2 linked regions of the Bombyx mori genome follow. The main gene of each other region encodes a partner of the protein of the gene in region 2 in a complex. Links are inferred from orthologs where the notes say so. Each region holds a gene or a part of one and is shown on either strand. Other genes may lie near its edges.

Evidence for each region. Proteins that work in one complex are often made in the same cells at the same time.
Region 1: RNA transcription, translation and transport factor protein (region 2) and archease share a complex: the UniProt entries of both Homo sapiens proteins name them as parts of the tRNA-splicing ligase complex. The link is inferred for Bombyx mori from reciprocal best matches to the Homo sapiens genes RTRAF and ZBTB8OS.

Annotation. Positions count from the first base shown.
Region 1 is NC_085121.1:13,347,669-13,359,023, reverse strand, and holds archease, read right to left. Parts: upstream 7,216-11,355; 5' UTR 7,092-7,215; coding exon 7,028-7,091; intron 6,916-7,027; coding exon 6,891-6,915; intron 3,611-6,890; coding exon 3,220-3,610; 3' UTR 3,171-3,219; downstream 1-3,170. Other genes in the region: uncharacterized protein LOC101743665, read left to right, coding at 8,992-9,219, 9,901-9,990, 10,485-10,592. UniProt on the Homo sapiens protein: Component of the tRNA-splicing ligase complex required to facilitate the enzymatic turnover of catalytic subunit RTCB. Together with DDX1, acts by facilitating the guanylylation of RTCB, a key intermediate step in tRNA ligation.
Region 2 is NC_085119.1:4,404,913-4,415,667, reverse strand, and holds RNA transcription, translation and transport factor protein, read right to left. Parts: upstream 5,326-10,755; 5' UTR 5,175-5,325; coding exon 5,105-5,174; intron 5,028-5,104; coding exon 4,803-5,027; intron 4,461-4,802; coding exon 4,377-4,460; intron 4,069-4,376; coding exon 3,770-4,068; 3' UTR 3,609-3,769; downstream 1-3,608. Other genes in the region: translocase of inner mitochondrial membrane 8 homolog b, read left to right, coding at 1,749-1,844, 2,042-2,215. UniProt on the Homo sapiens protein: RNA-binding protein involved in modulation of mRNA transcription by Polymerase II. Component of the tRNA-splicing ligase complex and is required for tRNA ligation.

The DNA.
Region 1 (11,355 bases), on a different chromosome or scaffold from region 2:
ATAAGCCGGTGCTAATTAGGAAGCCAATGCACGTCATTTCGGACTCTCCCGATCCACTATCGGCGCTTTTAGGTAACTCAAGCACCGGTCGCCATTCTCATCGAACCTGTCGCTTGTGACAAAGGGCTCGGTGAGCAAATGAACCCTCAGACTAGGCCCACTGAGTTTCTCGCCGGATCTTCTCGGTGGTTCGTGTTTCCGAGCACTGCTCTTGCTAAAAAGAAGAAGCCTATCAGTGTGACACTATTTATGTAAGATATGCACCTTGTTTCATGTAAGGAGGATATTTGCCAGACTTTCACCTTTTATTTATTTATTTTTATTGCTTACATCGGTGGATGAGCTCACAGCCCACCTGGTGTTAAGTGGTTACATGGTGGGACATGGACATCTACAACGTAAATGAGCCACCCACCTTGAGATATAAGTTCTAAGATTTCAGTATAGTTACAACGGCTGCCCCACCCTTCAAACCGAAACGCATTACTGCTTCACGGCAGAAATGGGCAGGGCGATGGTACCTACCCGCGCGGACTCACAAGAGGTCCTACCACCCGTAATAATCTACCTACCTACCACCACCTACGCGTTGGGGGCGGTAGGCGGGGTATCAACACATGAATACCTCTTCAAATTATCATGATTTTTCATCCATCACCATTCTAATAGATAAAGCAACGAAGAAGGTAAAAGAAATGCAGAGTTTTTATCGGATAGGCATATGCTTATTAATTATTACTTACCTATGTGTGTATATTTCAACTTTCTAAACCACAAACAGAAGCAGTAGATTTTAATTTATTTTATTATTTTACATACATACTGAAATTACCCATCCTATAAATAGATACTACTTAAAATATATCTTATATTTTTCATTTGTAGTGTAACACTAATTAAGAATAGATTTTACTCGAGTTCTATCCAGAATGGATTGATACGGCTTACATTACCAAATAGACATTTTCCGGGAAATTCGAATGTTACCCGCATATTATATTCATGGAAAAAACGAAAAATTTTCATGTTTATTCTTGATACAATATTAATTAATATTTTAGGAGTCGCAATTTACAAGTTCACACCCATACGAGGCACCTAACCTATATCTAACTGCCGTGTCACTAACTCACCTCGATATTATTTACACACATTATTTTAGTACACATTGCTGAGTACTAAAATCTCTAAAACTAACATTTGTAAACAAATAGGTATAATCTAGGTACTTTCACCACAATATCCTGGACACAACCGTGTGAAGCCGTATCATCCGTTTTTTATGCGGACTAGACGGAAAAGTGTAACTAGGAAAAAACGACACAAAAAACCGTCATTTTTTATAACCTTGTAGGCAGGTGAGCATACGGCCATCCTGATGGTGAGTGGTTACCGTCGCAAATAGACGTCAGCAATGCAGGGGCAGAGCTAAGCCTTTGCCTACCGAGATCTTTTTGCAGTGATATTTCAGGCATTTCCCGAGCACTTAGGAAACTGAAACTTCTTCCTATGCTAAAGAATATGCAATATTATTTTAATAAATAATAAAATAGTGATATTATTTTTTTACTAATGAATAATATTTATTCACATTTTATGGTTCGTTTATTTATTTTTCTTAGTTCATTACGTCATACAAACACAAAAAAGATACCTAGCAAATGAACTTTTTCCAACCATAACATACATCTCTTTTTTTTTATTATCTTATGATTAACTAATAGTTATTTGCTATAATTTGAATATAACCTTTATTTGAAAACCTATTTGTTCTATTCTACATTTATTTTCATCATGATTTTGTTTCTCTACGTGAATGTCGGTGATAAAACGTAATAAGGAATTTGTAGAAATTTGTTTTGATTATGTTTCTGTACCTATGTCTCTATCCGATGATTTGCAAGCGAAGTAAATTGTTCCTTGGAAATAAGGTGACACTACAAAAGTTGCATACGCCCCATCATGACCTATACAAGTGTAGTGTTCGCTCACGCGGCCCGCACTCACTTAAAACCCCTTCAAATTAGTCAATCACGTTTTTGCAGGATAGCCGTCGGAGCCCCGTGGTTCGTCAGGAACATCGACTTGCATGACGACCTGGACCTAGAATACATGAGTTAGTATCTATAGTCGGCATCAATGCGCCACTTCGATAAAGCGGCACGACACGAGAATCCTCTCATCGCGGCCGCCGGGAACTACATAGCCGATCCTGCAGACCAAATGGTAAACAGTCTACTTCGCCCAAAACACGTGATTTCGGATCCTCCCGATCCACTAACGGTGCGTTTAGGTACCTCAAGCACCGGTCATAGTAGCCGCTCGGCGAGTAAATGAACCCACAGACACAGCTCACTGAGTTTCTCACCGGATCTTCTCAGTGGGTCGCGTTTCCGATCCGGTGGTAGATTCTGCAAAGCACGGCTCTTGCTAAGGTTCGTATTAGCAACGTCGTCAGGTTTGAGCCCCGTGAGCTCACCTACTAGCTCGGCGAATCTAGAATAACCCCTCGAGGTTACTAGAATAGGTAGGAAAAAAAGCCTATGTCATCATCATCATTAATTATCATCACCAATGAAAAGCCACCCACTGCTGGAAATAGGACTTCCTTATGTTTCGTCACAATAATCGGTACAGTGCTGCAGCTCAAGAACACGGGTTCGGTAAGTAGTTCCGCAAAATTATTACTACCTGCTCCTACCTAATACTACCTACTACTACCTGCCTGCTGAATTGGAACCGAATCGAGATAATATCAAAAGTGTATTGAAGTTCCTTGTTTCACATATTCCCTACATTTGTACTGCATTTCTTCATATCCTTCGGATCCTTGATATAAGGGTTTCTTCAAGACTATTTTTTATTGCTAAGACGTAAATGTCGCCACCCACTTTGAGACCGGAGCTCTAATGACTCAATTTTTACAGTAATATAATATGGTCGCCTTACCCCTCAAACCGAAACGCATTAACTGCTTCGCGGCAGAAATAGGCAGGATGGCGGTACCAACCCGTGCGGGCCCAGAAGATGCCCTAGCAAATTTCATCAGGGAAAATGTTAATTGCCAGCGAGATCTGACTAGCGGCAAAGTCGTATCGCTTGATACGAGTAAGTGTCTTACACCTTTACCTTACGACGATTTCAGTGCTTTGGAAAAAAAATTAAACTTTAAAAAATACAAACGTATATTTCTTGAATACAAAAAAAAAATAAAAAAAATTATATGTCAATGATAACAAACACTTCGTACTTATTGTCCTTTGGATCGTCAATGATCTGCATGGCCGAGTAAGTTATAGCTTTGACTTCTGTGCCTTGGGGATGTTTGCCAATTACGAACTCCTCGCCGTAACACCTACACACTATCTTGAACTCTTGCGTGTTAAACTCCGTTATGACTAACTTCTTGCATATCAAAAATGGTTCGTAGGAGAATAAAAACAACAGTTCGTCGAGGAAGTGGTAAAGTAATCCCATGAGATCGTCAGCGCTCGCTTCGATGGTGTGAACATCCTTGATCTGGACGTACTCAAGCTCGGTCATGTAACCGAACATCGCCATCCCGCACTGCTCGAAGGCTTCTTTAAGACTGTCGCCCCATGCGTGTAATCTAGAAATGTAATAAAAGTTATTATTATTATTATTATTTTTTTATTGCTTAGATGGACGGACGAGCTCACAGCCCACCTGGTGTTAAGCGGTTGCTGGAGCCCATAGACATCTACAACGTAAATGCGCCACCCACCTTGAGATATAAGTTCTAAGATCTCAGTATAGTTACAACGACTGCCCGAAGCCCAAGCTTCAGACCGAAACGCATTATTGCTTCACGGCAGAAATAGGCAGGACGGTGATACCTACCCGCGCGGACTCACAAGAGGTCCTACCACCGTCCGTCCCATCTAAGCAATAAAAAAAAAAATATTATTATTATTTTGGTGTACAATTAGCATTGATTTTTAAATATTTTATTTAGTTAAAGTTTTATAACAAGTTTTTTTCGAAAATCCTCAAGCAATTTCTGAATAATTTGTGAAAATAAACTCAGCACTAAAAGGATTAAATAATGAATTAGCTTAACTAGACTCGTTCTACATAACTCAGCTTAGCCTAGACCTATCCTAAAAGTGAGGTATTTTTTTTTTAAATATTAATGGAACGAAAATATTACAACACTCCTTGACTATATTATATTTAAATTATAAATCACGTGGCATTACAATATGATGTTGTAATAATAAAAAATAATTCTCATTTAATTCAGGTAATGGAATAAACTAAAGATAATATGAATTTAAACTTTTATGAAAATGTAAAAAATAATGGTGAAAAGGCTTTATTTCGTATCAAATAAATACCGAAACTCGCATAGTTCCGTTGCGACAGAAAAGACCGCATTGTCTATCGGAAGATTTGCAAGCGAAGTAAATTGTCCCTCCGTAGTAAGGTGACACTCTACAAAACTTGCATACATCCGGTCATGACCTATGCAAGTGTAGTGTTCGCTCACGCGGCCCGTACTAATTTGAAACCCCTTCAAATCATACAATCCCGTGTTTGCAGGATAGCCGCCGGAGCCCCGCGGTTCATCAGAAAGTGGGCCTCCACGATGACATAGACCTAGAGTTCGTCAGTATGTATCTAAAATAGGCAACAGTGCGCCATTTCGAAAAAGCGGCACGACACGAGAACCCTCTCATCGTGGCCGCCGGTAACTACATTCCCGATCCTGTGGACCAAATGGTAAACAGTCATCCAAAACACGTCATTTCGGATCCTCCTGATCCACTAACGGTGCTTTTAGGTACCCCAAGCACCGGTCATCGTTCTCTTCGAGCCCGTTCTTTGCGACGAAGGGCTCGGCGAGTAAATTAACCCCAGACACAGCCCACTGAGTTTCTCGCCGGGTCTTCTCAGTGAGTCGCGTTTCCGATCCAGTGGTAGGTTCTGCGAAGCACTGCTCTTGCTAGGGTTAGTGTTAGTAACGACTGCAGGTTTGAGCCCCGTGAGCTCATCTACTTGTTAGGGTTACATTGAGATGGCCTCCCAAGGCCATCAGCTTAGGCTTAAGAAAAAAAGAGCGCGTTGGGGTCACTTACTCGTAATGGCTATACAGCGTGTCCTACAATCGATATATCAACCCGAAACGCTGCCACAGTATAAATCACGTTAAGAATGTAAAAAAAGTATCGAAATCTTAATTATTAGTTTCATATAAAAACAAATTTAATAATTGTTTCAACTGTTCGATAACAGCCCTGAATTTATACAACAACAGTACTATTAGACCATTCATTCAGTTAAACGCGTCAGAAAGAGATAGACAATAACAAATACGAAAAAAATTACAAGCACATTAGGTTCATGAGGCTCAAAAACTCAAAAAACCAAAATCAAATATCAAACTTATTACGGCGAATGTTATTAAATACCACATTTATTGCAAGGACAAAAGAAGCTGCATGAAGTACCGACATAGTCGGAGACCGGCGCCGGAGGGATATTCGTGTGTGTGTGTGTGTGTGTTGTGGATTTCAATTATTTTGGAAAGTTCTACAAACTCGATTAAGTTGGTAGCACTATAGCGATGTCCTAAAATAAATCCGAAGTTGTTGGGATTTTTTCTCATCGCTAAGATGGGTGGACGAGCCAAAACAATTAAAATCTACGTAATTACTGGTGGTATGGCGTCTTGTGAGCACGAACGGGTAAGTACCACCGCCTTCGTCCGGCTCAGATCTCTCTAGGAGGTGACCTCCCCCGGGTGAACGTTTCGGGGCGACCTAAGGGGGTGAGGCCGCGCGGCGCGCTTTTTGTACTCTAGCACGCTGAACATGAAAACAGTTCTACGGAACTGCTATGTAAGAGGAACCGGTTAGTGGTGTATCGCTTTCCGAACTGGCAGGCAGATTCTGGTCCAGCGGGGTATTCCGAGACACCAGAGGCACCGCCTGGAGTGGCCAGACGGGCTGCCGTACCGAGATGGCCGACGTAGAGTCGTCGACTATCACCTCGACGACCCGTCGGTCGGGCGTCTAAAGGTGGAGCCGCAGATCTGGTTGTATTGTTGACTGCGGGAATCCCCCTAGTCTGCCCGGGTTTTGACTCCGGGTGGTGGGCGGTCGTCGGGTAAGAGACCGAGGGGTGTCGCTTGAAAGAAAAAAAATGTACCATCGCCCTGCCTATTTCTACCATACAGCATTAATGCATTTCGGTTTGAAGGATAGGAGAGCCGTTGTACTATGAAAACGAGATTTAGATCTCATGTACAAGGCAGGCAACGGCATTTACGTTCTTGGTGTCGGGCTATGGGCTTCAGTGACCACTTATATGGGACACCCTGTATATACGCCTCGTCAACAGCAATCCCTGATTTATAAATTTTCTCCCTTGTTTATTTCGCATGATTCTATCCCTACATAACATAAGTTATTTGCGAACATGTGTTGGGTCATGTTTTAAATTGGAAAAAATTATACTAGCCAGAAGAATAGATCCAAAGCGTCATCAATGATTAGTTACTGAAAGTCTCACACAGTGTAGTGTGAATGAGAATTCCCAATTTACACAAAAAAGCCACCTTGTCGTCTAATGGCAGAGACCAGTTCCTCATTCCAGATTGAAGATATACCTATATAGATGTTTTACAGATACATAGACATATAAAAAATTACACATCATTACATTTCACATTGTAATTAAATTTTAAGTACCTACATGGACTGAGGTCAAAAAATACTATTATTTTGCATTAATTTGTTTTTTTTTATATATAGATATGTAATCAATTATGTCTGAAGTTTAATTAGATTGATTCACAATACTATCTCAATACTACATCAGTAGCTTTAAATTAAAACTAAAATATAACACATGAATTAACCACTTACTGAACATCAGCAGTATGGTCCAAATCTGCAAAATTTACATTTACCTTATATTTATAAGCACCAATCATCACAGTAAAATTGCAATTCAATCACATAAATTTATAGGAAAAACTATAATTTAGATACTGTATACTCACATTCATATTTAACAGGAGGTATATCATAATATTCTTCGGAAATACCGCCTAATTCTTCATCCATTATAGTTTTTAATAATGTAACAAAATTTTACTAATATATGTGTTTACGTACAAATACTCTTACTTCACTACCTTCATTGATAATACAATTTTATCACTACATAAATTCTTCAACTCTCTCTCTGCCTTGAAGAATTATGAATCACTGTCCATAGATTATACACTTAATATATACGAGAACTGTCACTGAGCAAGATTAAGTGTCTAATCTATGGTAAGTAATTCTACGTTAAAAGACTTTATGAATCTTGGCTCAATGAATTTGGCCCCTTTTTCTTTGTTATCGGATTTTTTTTTTATTTCGTTGTCCGTCGTTTGTTCGTTAATGTTCGAATGTAAAAAATGTTTGTTCGTCTTTTATTTATATAAAATTAATTAAACAAGTGATGACCCTTAAGTGGGCCCCCCTTACTAGATATGTTAATTTTTATCGCTCAGATTAGTTAATTTGCATCAATTATTGTTTGTTCGACAATTATTGGTGATTATTCGATCATAAAAACAATTAAATTCCTAATTATTAATTATTATATATCTAATAAGCAAACCATGACCTCACGCCACCTTTTTTTGATTTTCAGATTTTTTTATTTTTAATTATTTGTTCATAATTAGTTCGTTAATGTTCGAATGTAACAATTTAAGCTCACCCCAGTAACTGTTGAGAACATTACTCTTGAAGTTGTAGACGAATATATACTTATATACCTGGGACAGGCAATCCGATTAGGTAAGTCCAACTTCGCAAGAGAGGTCAGTAGGCGGATCCAACTCGGCTGGGCAGCGTTCGGTAAATTAAAAAATGTGTTCTCGTCCAAAATCCCTCAGTGCCTGAAGATCAAGGTATACAACCAATGTGTGCTACCAGTGATGACTTACGGTTCTGAGACGTGGTGCTTCACAAGAGATCTTTTTAGGAAGCTCAGTCACAGCGAGCTATGGGGGGGCTATGCTTGGTATTTCTCTACGAGACCGAATCAGAAATGAGGAGATCCGTAGAAGAACCAAGTTGCTGACATAGCCCGTATGATTAGCACGCTGAAGTGGCAGTGGGCAGGCCACATAGCGCGAAGATCGAACGGCCGATGGGGCAGAAAGATCATGGAGACCACGTACTGGCAAGCGCAGTTTGGGACGGCCACCTACGAGATGGACCGACGACCTGGTAAGAACCGCTGGGTCACGTTGGATGCAAGTGGCAACGGACCGGCCGCACTGGAGATCACTTGGAGAGGCCTATGTTCAGCAGTGGACAATGGACAGACTGAGATGATGATGATGAAAAGACGACAATTTTTACATTCGAACATTAACGAACAAATGACGAACAATTAAAAATAAAAAAAATCTGAAAATCAAAAAAAGGTGGCGTGAGGTGATGGTTTGCTAGATATAAAATAATAAATAATTGGGAATTTAATTGTTTTTATGATCGAACAATCACCAATAGTCGTCGAACAAATGATAATTGATCAAAATTAATTAATCTGAGTGATAAAAATAAAGATATCTAGTAAAGGGGGCCCACTTAACGGTGATCATTTGTTTAATTAATTATAAATAAACAAAAGACGAACAAACAATTAAAAATAAAAATAAAATCGAAAACCAAAAAAAGGGGGCCAAATTCACTGAGGCAACTTACTTCAATGGAGATTCACAGGATGACTTTTTTTTTACAGGAAGACATAAGTTATTTTCATAGACCTACTTCAGTGGTTATTTTGAGTAATTTGACATATGGCACTAATTGACAGTTCGAAAACAATTTTTGAAAAACAATTGGTACCTACAAATACTTCGAAATTTCGATATTCATTTCTTTTCGGTAATAGATATTTTTGTAACAAATTTTAACCTACACGTTTTGTATTTTCTTTTACGTAGCAAAAACATTAACAATGGATCCTATAGCAGTTTTACAAAGTAGAATTGAACAACTAGAAGCTAAATTAGGTTTGTCTCCAGAAATATCTATAGATGGTCAGCAAGGTGACTCTGTTACTGCGAATCTTTTAAGCGCTGCACAAGCCATCAATAATGCAACGGCAGGACACGAAAAGCTTCATGAAGCTATGCAAATGGCCTCAGAGTTGAACAACTATAGTGATCCGAATTTCGTTGAAAATGTAAGTGCCGTTAATAACCATTGATAATCCTTACGTCCCATGAATTTCTTTCAATGCATAATTAATTCTGAATTAAAACCCTATATACCTTTTGTAAAATTTTACCAAGTATGTTTAACTCAAATTTAAATCCATTTTCTCTTTCCATACAACTAGTTTATAGAATTTAAATTTCATCTGATATATTCAGACTTATCATTAAAGTAGTGACTTATAGTCAGCATCTGTTGTGCAATGTGTGACAAATAAGTCACAAAGTAACATAAAGACAAGGTAACATTCTCTATCAGACCAAAAAAGAAAGTAGAAAAATAACTGGCTGGTCTTAAACAAAAAATTAAAATATTTTTTTTTTTAAATATATCTCATTGGACAAGTGAGGCAACATATGATCTTGTTCATGATATTCAAAGTTGTAAATTAATAAATATTATATAAATTTAACTCAACAAAGACTTTGACCTAATGCCTCAAAGTACACATGACTTTAACAGCATTTTCATCAAATGAAAAATAATATATAATAATTTTTTTGTTGCCTTTGAAGATTGCCTTAATTAGGCTCACTATTGATTAGTGATTACTGTCTTTGAACTGCAAGCTTATCTGTCTTGCCTATATAATTACCAAAATCTACAAAAAAATTGTATAATGTTGATCTTATCAGAATGTTGGTTACAGTTGCAGAAGAATGATTTACATAAACAAGAAGTACTTGCAGCTGAACCAGTGATCAGACATCACTGTCGCTGTATGCAGCAATGTAAACAGGTCAGTAGATGAGTTTGTTACAATTCTGTCACAATATACTTATAAACTGGTTGCTAGTGCTGTTTAAAAACAAGCTCAGACTAGCCGGTGTATTTTAATTATATTTTCTGTTGTGAAGTTCAGTAAAATTGGTATGATAATTAACCTGTATTCTCTTATGAATTTTTTTACATGGCTGTTTAGATAGTTGCATCCGAATTTATAAAATTTTCTACTGTATTGTAAGGCTTGGTTAAAAATTGAATCTAAATCAAGTTTATGATCAAATAACAGGTCAATATATATTAGGTACATACATAAATGCATGTTGGTAACATTATTACCCTAGCTGGGTATTTGAGAACAGAAGCCATGTGATGGACATTGAGTTTCTTATTTAGGTCCACCAGTGTATATAATATGTACTAGAAGAAATGACTAGCACAGTATTTTCTAGGGATATGGTTAATTTTAAAAGATTAAATACATTGGTTGTTTGAATTTCTATGAAATAGGCAACACCAGTTCTGGAGTCGGAGGCCATACAAAAAGCTGCTCAAATGCAGCCCACTGTAGACAAGATGCACGCTGCAGCTGCAGAAGTAAAGGCGGAAGCTGATGCAGTAAATACTTTTATAAAATTTTTATATCATTTTTATTGCACATTTTTGCTTTTTTACTCCTTTTTGAAGGCAGACAACCAAATGGGCTACTTAATGGTTATCAGTGGGACTGTTACTCATAGACAATAGCAGATCCATTCTCTCTCTCTTCCTACACCGTTTCCTACACTATACTTTTGTAGTGTATTATGGAGTCAAGGACGGGGTTTGTTTAGACACTTAGCTAGGGCGGATAGGCAAACTTGAGGTCTCATCACAACAGGAGGTTTGTCAAGAGCTGCCTGTGGGACCCCAAAGTGGCTTCTTGTCGATTTTGACAAGTACCGTAACCTGTGTTCTAATTGCTTCTACTAGTAACATCTAACAACGCCGAGAGTGAGTCAGCATGATTCATGAATATATACGGTTTTCGAACTCAATTGAACCTTCTTCATATGAAACACATCCACTATAACTGCTTTTAGGCATTCCAAGAACTGTTGACCGTTTTCGTCGATTCCGACGAATGCGACAAAGGGTCCGCCGTGAAAATTAACTGACAGACACAGCCCATTAAGTTTCTTGCCGGATATTCGCAGTAGTCGCGATTCTCAACTTTGCCTCGAACTTTTTATTTTATTGATAAGAATACCAAAACCGTCATAATAAATTGTATTCAGACTTATTTAAACCCGAATACCCAACCTAATTTTTACTTTTTTTAAATTCAACTGTTTCAGTTTAGTGTTTAATAAAAATATGTATGATAAAAATATAATATTGT
Region 2 (10,755 bases):
AATTTTACAAGTAGCGCTTCGAAGTTGTCACTACCAAAATACAGCTCTGCTTTTTCAAAGAGGAAGCTCGAACGCAGGAATGTCGCCTTCCATCATGACCTTCCGTCTTAGTTGTAAAGTTAATCCGTGAAGCCTCGCTCATCAAGCTTTACCCTATCATCTGCAAGTGGAGTTACTCGGAGTTCATTTGTGGTAAAGTGACCTTTTACAGAATTTGAATAAATTCAAACATCACATGTGCGACTATGGTGTTAGCTCACGTGGCACGCACCCACATAAACCCCATTAAACTTCAATGTAGGTGTCGGAACACCATGACGGAACACATACAAAATTCCTCAGAGAAATGTACATCTCGAATTTTTCCAAAATATTACAGACGTTAATTTACGACAGCGATATAATGTGATAACCCACTTACTGTGGCCGCCGCTAACTATGCCCCTTACTCTCACGCAGTAACAAGCCACCGTTGGATTCTTAGACAGACTTGTTTGATCCACTTGAACCACTTTTAATGCAGTCGGTTTTTTTTTTATTTTTTATTGCTTCGATGGGTGGACGAGCTCACAGCCCACCTGGTGTTAAGTGGTTACTGGAGCCCATAGACATCTACAACGTAAATGCGCCACCCACCTTGAGATATAAGTTCTAAGGTCTCAGTATAGTTACAACGGCTACCCCACCCTTCGAACCGAAACGCATTACTGCTTCACGGCGGAAATAGGCGGGGTGGTGGTACCTACCCGTGCAGACTCCCAAGAGGTCCTACCACCAGTGATTACGCAAATTATAATTTTGCAGGTTTAATTTTTATCACACGATGTTATTCCTTCACCGTGGAAGTCAATCGTGAACATTTGTTGAGTACGTATTTCATTAGAAAAATTGGTACCCGCCTGCGGGATTCGAACACCGGTGCATCGCTACACACGAATGCACCGGATGTCTTATCCTTTAGGCCACGACGACTACAGAACGGGTGCTACTAGTTGTAACGCTAGCAACAGCTAAACTACAGGTCACCGTATTCATCGAAGAGTTCGATATAAAATTTAGTCCATAGTATCAGCCCAGCAAGAATCTCAGCAGCTCGCGCAAAATATTAGGGCTGTACAAACATTTAAATGCACTCGAATTGGGTGTCTATGGCTAGTTTTAAATCCTGTGGCTTGTAATATATGAGTCATAGTCGACTCATATATTACAAGCCACAGGCGGCAATCTGACTTTTGGACAATGATTGGTAAATCAGAAAAACGAATTATTGACTTTGTATTCCATTGGCAGTCACAAAACTCTTCGGAACGACATCTTAGATAAATAACAGGTTAACTATTAACCTTTATTTAATGCAGGTTTTGAACCGTATTCTTTGAAGGAGACGATTATATTCAAATAAATCTGTATTGAAATATCAATAAATTTTTTTTGTCCAAATGCACAGATTGCCACCTTTGATAATAGACGACTCATATATAAGTGAAATTGAATTGATGAAAGAATGAATTATATAAAAGCATCGAATTGATAGTGCAAAAGTGGGAATATAAATTTTTTATTTCATTCCGTTTTATGAATTATACATGACTTCTACTGTAATAACAAAAATTTTGTCGATAATGGTCTGTGTTTCCTTTGCCTGTCCAATGGATGAATTAAACAAGAATAACCTCAAAACTTCTAGTTTGGTCAAGTTTGGTGGAATATTTCAGATATAAAAATACAATACTCAGCAAAAGACAAAAATGAGCGACATTGATTTTCCTAGTCCAAAAGGTGCAGATTCCGAACTTCAGGATTTCTTAATACAAGAAAAACAAAAGGCACAGTTCCAAGCACAGGTAATATAAAGAATATTGTTTTATTGCAATAGGAATCGCTGAATATCTAATAAATACCAAAAATATTTTGTTTCTTTAAATCATTTTTATATTAATAAACATGTTAAATTAATAGGCATTACTGTTAAGTTAGAGATATGTCCAAGTAGAACAAAGACGTTTCAATTAACTTTAGATGATTTTGTTGTATTTTTCAGATACACGAATTCAATAGTTTCTGTTGGGACAAGTGTATTGAAAAACCTGGAGCTAAGCTGGACTCTCGGACCGAAACATGTATCACAAACTGTGTGGAAAGATTCATTGATACCTCACTATTAATAACAAATAGATTTGCACAGATGCTAGAAAAGGGAGGCGGAATGCATTGATGTCTAAAATATCTGAAACTTTCAGTTTCAGTTCATAAAGTAATACAATGAGAACTATAAATTTATATTAGTGTAATAGTAGATTAGTAAATTACTGTTGATGATTGACTGTTTCACTGTTATTGTGTAATAATAATAATTTTGCATACTTAGACTTAGGAAATCTGAATTTGAGCATGTAATTGTTGTTTGTAATGCACAGGCCATAATACACATCCGTGCTAGTCTGACGTAATTATCTATTTCCCTCTAATGCATATTGTACTTTGATAGCTCCAATACAAAATTTATGTGGAAAGAGCCTTTTAGTTCAAGCTTGAATCTTATTGGTTCAGAACAGACATCTAATATTAGTTCAGCTTTATTACATAGGTAATTCTGCTTGATTATATGTTAGAAATATGCAACAAAGATAATTTTCCAATAATAAATATTGTTGCCTCAATGTGTATGACCTTCCATTTCCCTTAATACAATAAATTGAATTTTTTTTATAAAGATCACTGGCTGAACTCTCAGCCCATCTGGTGTTAGGTGGTTACTGGAGCCCATAGACATCTACAACGTAAATGCGCCACCCACCTTGAGATATAACCTCTAAGGTCTCAGTATAGTTACAATGGCTGCCCCGCCATTCAAACCAAAAAGCATCACTGCTTCATTGCAGAAGTAGTTAGGGTACTGAAACTTAACTGCACTGACTCACAAAATATCCTACCACCAGTCATCATCATCATGCTTTCCTATTACCCTCTGCTGGGGTGTAGGGCTCGAATCAAAATTTTCCATTTGTATTGGTCTTGGGCAGTCTGTTCTAGCTCCTCCCACCAGTAATGCAAATTATAATTTTGCAGATTTGATTTTTATTACACTATGTTATTCCTTCACTACCAAGAATATTTAATTTTGATGTTTATCAAATTTATTTTTACACATCCTTGATTATAAAACTTACGAATTATTATGTAATTAACATTCTGAACATTCTACAGAAACATAAGATAAAAAGAGTACATATTTCAATTTAAAACTTTTTCAGTTATCTTGTTATTGCTGTAACTTACTAATCTATGTAGTATTAAGCAGCTACTAGATGTTTGCTGGTCTGCTTACAACACCAACAAATAAAACTAAACCAATTTTATGGGTGGTACAGGGGAGCCTTGTGAGCCTGCACATGCCAACAACATACCAACACTACCCATAATAACTAGTATATAATAATAAGTCATTCTGGTCATTCTGGTTTGAAGTGTAGAACGACCACCAATAAGACTTAGACCACAAGCCTCAGGTTTACATTACATACATCTTAACAATAAAAAAGTGAATAAGACTAAAGTTAAATTGGTATAACCCAAATAAAAATAAAAATCTAAATGAAAAAACGAAATTTAATGCACAGTTTATTTTTAGTACTCAGCAGATCAATTATTATCATTTTAATATGGTTTTACATAACATAGTATAAAAACAATAGCTTCAGTTCTTCGCCATTGTGATTTCGTGAAGAAAATGTTAAGATAATTTTACAAAATTTTAGTGAAGAACATTTTATCTTCCTACTCGACCGAGTTTGGTATCAGTTCGAGGGTCAGCAGTAACAGTTTGGACAGCAACTAAAGCTTCATTAATTTTTGTTTGTAAATTTCTAAGATCCTGAACAAACAGTAACTTTAACACATCTGAGGGTTGATTAACTAAATTGACTTCAGTTTGTAGGGGTTCCGGATGCGGAGAAGTTTTCAGTACTTTGGCTAAGGCAGCAAGTCTTATTTTAGGATCTGGATGAGGACCAATGCTCGCTACTGTACAGACTCTGTTGACACCTGCTTTGAATGCTTGACTTGAGACTGAAAATAGATTTGGAATATTACCAAAGATCACCAAAGAAACGTGATGAGTATAGAGATCAGGGCCTCAACGGAATTTTATTAAAGAATTGAAGTTGAAGTTTGGAATATTAAAAGCATTAGAAATAAAGAAGAATCAAGATAATCTAAGCTAACATATTAATAAAATTTTAGAACCATTAGTAACAAATTCAATTCTTGTTGGCAATTATTTAAACAAGTTTAATTATTTAATTGTAATTACAAAATTAGTTTTTGATAGTTAGAAATTAAAATGTTTTTCTAAATTTTATTATGGATGTACTTACAGTCCAGATTGTCTAATGGATTAGAAGACACGACATTGGGAGCTTTCTTTTTCTCTTCAACTTTAGCATTTTTATATTTGTCAACTGTAAAATAAAATTAGACATTCTTATAAATTTTGATGATTACTGATCATAGAGCATTTTGTAAACCCACATGGGTAAACACCACCACCCTGCCTATTTATGACGCAGAGGAGAGCCTTGTGTTCTAGTCTGAAGGGTGGAATAATTGCTATGTTTTAATGGAGTCTTAGACTTCATGTCTCAAACATGCAGCATTCAAGTTATCTCTGTATGCTCCCGTAACGACTTAATATCAATTGGGCAATGAGCTTGTTTAAATGTCTAAGTATTAAAAAAGAAAAATACGGTAGCAAGTAAAGAAATAATTTGACATGAAATATTTAATTAAAATTTTCTGTTTACCATTATCCGCGTATTCCAACCGCACCGCATACGACAATAGCCAATTGAGTTGTTCATTCAGCGTCCCTTCTGCCGCTGGACTCACCAAATCTTTCTGATACGTATTGTATGCCTCCTTCCAGAAATCGGAATCAATATTTCTCAACCCTTCTCGGTCCTCAATTTTGTAATGCCTTATTTTTTGATCTTCTAACCACAGCACCACACTTCTGTACTCCTTCTCATCTAAAAATTGCAGAGACTTGTTATTTACAATCTTCACTCACGAGTTTTAACGAACGGGTCATCAAATTAAACAAAACCTTCGCAGTTAAAGAACTCTGGATTTGGATGACCTAATGCACTTAGTTTCAATTTAAATAAATTTGACATTGTTAAAAAACTGTAAGTTTTTAGATAGCAAATTGTAGTAAATTTCACAAAATTAACCAAATGCAATTCGACATGACGATAGCATAGATAGTAGACATAAGTGTATAATCTATGGTAGAGACCAATATTTGACAATTGACATTAGGAACGCGATCTGAGATCGAAATATCGAATAATTAATCTTTTCAACAAAAACCATTTGATTTGTACCAAAATGAGTAGATCTAAGACATTAGATAATTGAAATTGTATTATTTTTTTATTATAACGCAACAAAAAATAATTCACACTTAAATTAGTGTAACACTCCGATCAACTGCTTCTTTTAGATGAGCGAAATAAATGGGGTTGGCTACTGTCAAAGTGGCGCTGGTGTGCATTGTTCCCATAACATTCAATATTTGTATTGGAACTTTTGATTAAAAATTATTTTAAGCACAATGACGCGTTGTTTTGTGCCAATATCCTCAGAAATTGGAGTACATCAATTCTCGAAGGACAAGAAAATTGGAAGACTGCGGTTAAAGGCCATTTGACACGAAAAAAGTACTCCCACAAAAAATTCGAGGTTATGTCGTAAACACTTTGTGGAATCTGACTATAAAAACTCGCTGGAGTAGAGTGGTCGGCATATCAAGAGAAGATCAATTTTTAATGTTACTAATTAAGCTTAGAAGAAACACAACAGATTTTGAATTAAGTAAAACTGAAGTGTCTAATATTGTTGTAACATGGATAAATTTTGTCAGTGATATCTAGAGCCTAATTGACATTTGCCCTAGCCGCAGCTTATTAAATTATTATATGCCTAATTGTTTTAGAACACATTATCCCTCCACAAGGGTGATTATATATGGGACTGAAATAGGCATACAGAAGCCTAGTCAACCTGATGCTCAAATAGCGTCATTTAGTTGTTATAAACATAAAAATACCGTGAAATTTTTGGTAGGAGCTTCACCAGGGGGATTATTATCATATGTTTTAAACGGCTACGCTGGTTCTGCAAGTGATCGACAGATACTAGAACGAAGTAAGCTGCTCCAGATTTGTGATTCTGGAGATAGTATTATCGCAGACAGAGGTTTTAATGTACAGGATCTGTTTGCCCCTAAAGGAATTAGTATAAATATGCCATCTTTTTTAAAAGGTAAATCACAAATCCCAGGTGTTCAGTTAAAGATAGATCAAAAATTAGCTAGTCAGAGGGTTCACATAGCACACGTTTCCACGACACCTATGAGGTAGTGTACTTAGCGCGTTTTTTTAACGTGGTTTCCCCAGTAGGCTTACTCCACGGGTCAGTTGTGATCCTGTTTAATGTAAAACTATTGCATAATAACGGAAATTTTCAGATTGGGAAAGATAAAAGCGATGTAAATTAAAAAAAGTGTTGAAGTTTATTCGTCTTATTCGTAAGTTTCAAATTCTTGTTCTTCTTCTTGATCTTCTTCTTATTCTTCTTCTCCTGCTTCTTCTTCATCTTCATTTCTTCCGTTTTCACTTCAGTTTTTCCGGCGCAGGTGGAAGTAAAGTTTGAACTGGCTCTAATATATTGTTGACCAACTTCCAACCCCAGTCTGTAGGGTCTAGCTGATAACCAAGCCACACTTGAACTTGGTAATATACTCGAAAAAGATGTTGGTGAGCAGCAACTGAGGTTGGAGGAAGACAAGCTAATTGAACTTGTTTTTTATTTTTAGTATTTTTAACGAAACATGCATATCGATGCTTATCTAAACAGGTAGTTTTTTTAAGGACTTATTATATATAGCTATTATATATATCATATAAAATATAACAACTCTAGATGTATATACGTGGCGTACTCATGCATATTATGGCGATAACAACTTTTATAACTTTTTGAATCGTTATATCTCAGAAACGGTGGCTCGTAAGATAAAAAGTATTGATACATTTTTTATAGATAATTTTATGGTCTACAATTTTTGTCTGAAGTACTTTTATGATAAAACTTACCGTTTTGCTGAAAATCGCGAAAAACTTATTTTTTTGACCTTTGACCTTGAATAAAAAAAATTCCTTACAGGGGAATGATGGGGAACTTCTAGACATTGTTTATAATTATATTTTGAACAATTTCACTGAAATTCAGCTTGTTGGGACTTTATGTAACTTCACTCTCATTTTTTGGTCTAAATTGACCGGACTAAATACAGATATTTTTCATACAATGCTTCTTTGAAAATATTTTCATAAAAGATTAATTAATTTAACTATATTATTTATAAAATAATTTATTTAACATATTATTTATAAAATTATTGTCTTTTTCAACATAAATCACTTTGATGTCCTTGTAGGTGTAAATGACCAAGTTGCAGTATGTTTTGCCTGAGCAGTATAACTGCCCTTGGATTGGATAATAATATGGCAGGTTTTTTTTAGAGACAATATCCCGTTACATTGTTCTAAGTAAGGCACCGTTGTTATATTTATTTCATGTTTTCTGCTAGCATAAGGACATTTCACTTCAATTATAGTTTCTTCGCCCAACACACCATCAGGAGATGCAGCAAGATATGGGCGCTCTTGTCTAATGAAAATGCCACATGGCTCCACTAGCAAATCATATATATTAGCATATTTTGCTAGAGCAATTTTTTCATTTTGTTTCAAAATTAAAATTTTGGTCATATACCTAGCTCTAATCTGAAAAAAGTAAAATAATACATTAGTTGGTAGGTAATGTGTGTAATATGAGCAATTCTTTTTGCACGTGCTACAAGGAATAAAGTTCCTAAGGTACACAATTTAATATTATTATTACAATAGCTACCGGAAACAGTTTGAGAGAAGTTTTTTAAGTTAAAATAAAACATCAACATTGTAACTTTCGACAAAATCCACTTTTTTTCCTCGTAAAGATGCACCACGTTTTCTCAACTCATTTTTTAATTCTTTAACTATCCAGTTGGAATACATGTTGTAAAACTGTTTAGCACTACTTAGAAAGTAAAAAGAACCGTATCAAAGTCACAAAATGCCGAAATATCACGAACACAAAACACACAAAATGGCGGCTATCTGTTACAAGGGAACAAGCTACGCCGGCGACATCTGAGAAAAGCTTTAACCGGCCAACCCCATTCGTTCACCCTTAGAGTATAAGGTGAATGAAGTTAACCCCTCAAAAAAATTTTTTTTTCCTATTTTATACTTATTTTCTATTAATTCGTTTGTTCATCATTTGTTCATGATTGTTCACTGTTAATAATTGTTTGTTCTGCATTTATTTATTTAAAAAATATATTTAAAAATATACCTACAAGTTAGCCCCTCTAATGCAATTTTTAATATTTTTTCATCCTTAATGACTCGTAAATATTCATTTTCGATTGTTCTTATATAAAACACGTTTGTTCTCTTTCGAAATTACTCGTTTTTTGTTTAATTTACTATTTTTATTAGTTGAATAAATGTATGCAAAATATGTGTACTGCGCATGCGTCAACTATAATGCCTAAACTTTTTACGCGGTTTTAATCGTGAAAAAAAACAAATATAAATCCTGAAGGAGCAATTAATTGGTATACAGTTTAATTAAAAAAAAAAATAAAAAATTAAATAATGTGCATTGGCGTTAAGTTAGACCAAATACATTTTTTCCATCCTCCTACTTATCATTATGAAAGTATAAAAAAGATGTTCAGAAGGGAGTTCACACAGGTAATATAAACAAATAAGTAAATATGTTCATTATTTATCTTTCAAGAGATAATATAGGTATACAATAAAATAAGTTTTTTTACACAGTCGAAATTATATTCCTAACATTAGTAAAATAACATTTTAATACGATAGGTAAGAGGATGGAAAAAATGTATTTGGTCTAACTTAACGCCAATGCACATTATTTCATTTATTTATTTTTTAATTTTTTTAATTAAACTGTATACCAATTAATTGCTCCGTCAGGATTTATATTTGTTTTTTTTTCACGATTAAAACCGCGTAGAAAGTTTAGGCATTATAGTTGACGCATGCGCAGTACACATATTTTGCATACATTTATTCAACTAATAAAAATAGTAAATTAAACAAAAAACGAGTAATTTCGAAAGAGAACAAACGTGTTTTATATAAGAACAATCGAAAATGAATATTTACGAGTCATTAAGGATGAAAAAATATTATAAAATTGCATTAGAGGGGCTAACTTGTAGGTATATTTTTAAATATTTTTTTTAAATAAATAAATGCAGAACAAACAATTATTAACAGTGAATAATCATGAACAAATGATGAACAAACGAATTAATAGAAAATAAGTATAAAATAGGAAAAAAAAATTTTTTTGAGGGGCTAACTTCATTCACCTTAGAGTATACATAAGCAAGCTTATGTATACTCTAAGCGTTCACCTTTCTATAGTGATTTTGTTCAACGTTTCACCTAAATCTTGTCTGCGCTGAATCCGTCTAGTAAGGCCTATAGCATACACAAATTATTTATATGTACCTAGTCTTGCCATAAATATTGAGACAAAGGAAAAAAAAATCTATTGCAAATAACATTTATTACTTTTACAGTGTGTTAGTTTAATAGATAAATATAAAACAATTTAATGTTTAAAAAGCTTATTCGAAGTGGTCTCCATTGGCTGCAATACAGTCCTTTAAACGTTGAGGCCAGTTATCAATAGAAGCATGCACTCTTTCCATGGGAAAAATTTTCACTGCCAATGGTATGGATTGTTTCAGGGACTCCAAATTATCATGGCGTTTAGAGCAAGCCGTACTCTCTAAAACTGACCATAAATCATAATCCAGCGGATTAAGATCGGGACTAGACGACGGCCAGTCTTCAGCTCTGATGAATTCCGAAACGTTCGTTTCCAACCAAGACTGCGTAGACCGAGCTTTATGACCTGGCGCCGAGTCTTGCTGGAAGGAACATTGTTGATTATTGAACATGGTGTTGTTAAGGGGCTTCACTACCTTCTCAAGAATGGTATCTTGATACACTTGTGCCGATGTTTTGATACCTTTTTCACAAAAGTATGGCTCAGTCACTCCTTCATAACTAATACCCCACCAAACCATCACTGAAGTTGGATAGAGCCCACGTTGGACTCGGTCGATTAATTGGGAAGCTTCCTTAGAGCTTTGAGAATAAATACGGTCATTATGTTTGTTAAAATGTTGCTCAATTGTAAAAAAAATCTCACCCGTAAACAAAATTTTCTATGACCTCCCTTTGCGTACCGCTTCAGTACCTAGTTGTTTCGATTTTACCACCCTATTCTCTTTTAAATTATCAGTTAAGAAATGACCAGTACGTCTCGTATAGGCTGCAAGTCCTAAGTCATCTTTTAAAATACGCGACATGGTTCTAGGTTGTAACTTCATCTCCCGAGATAAAATCTTTTGCTTTCGGACAGGATTTCTTCGAATTCTTTCCCTTACTGCTTTGACCACCTTTTTCGTACGAACAGTACGTGGACGGCCAGATCTTTTTCTGTCACAAACAGAGGAGGTCTCATTGCACCTGTTAATAGGCCGGTACACAAATATTTTAGTAATACCAAGCGTATGGAGAGTTTTAAAAAGTGTGT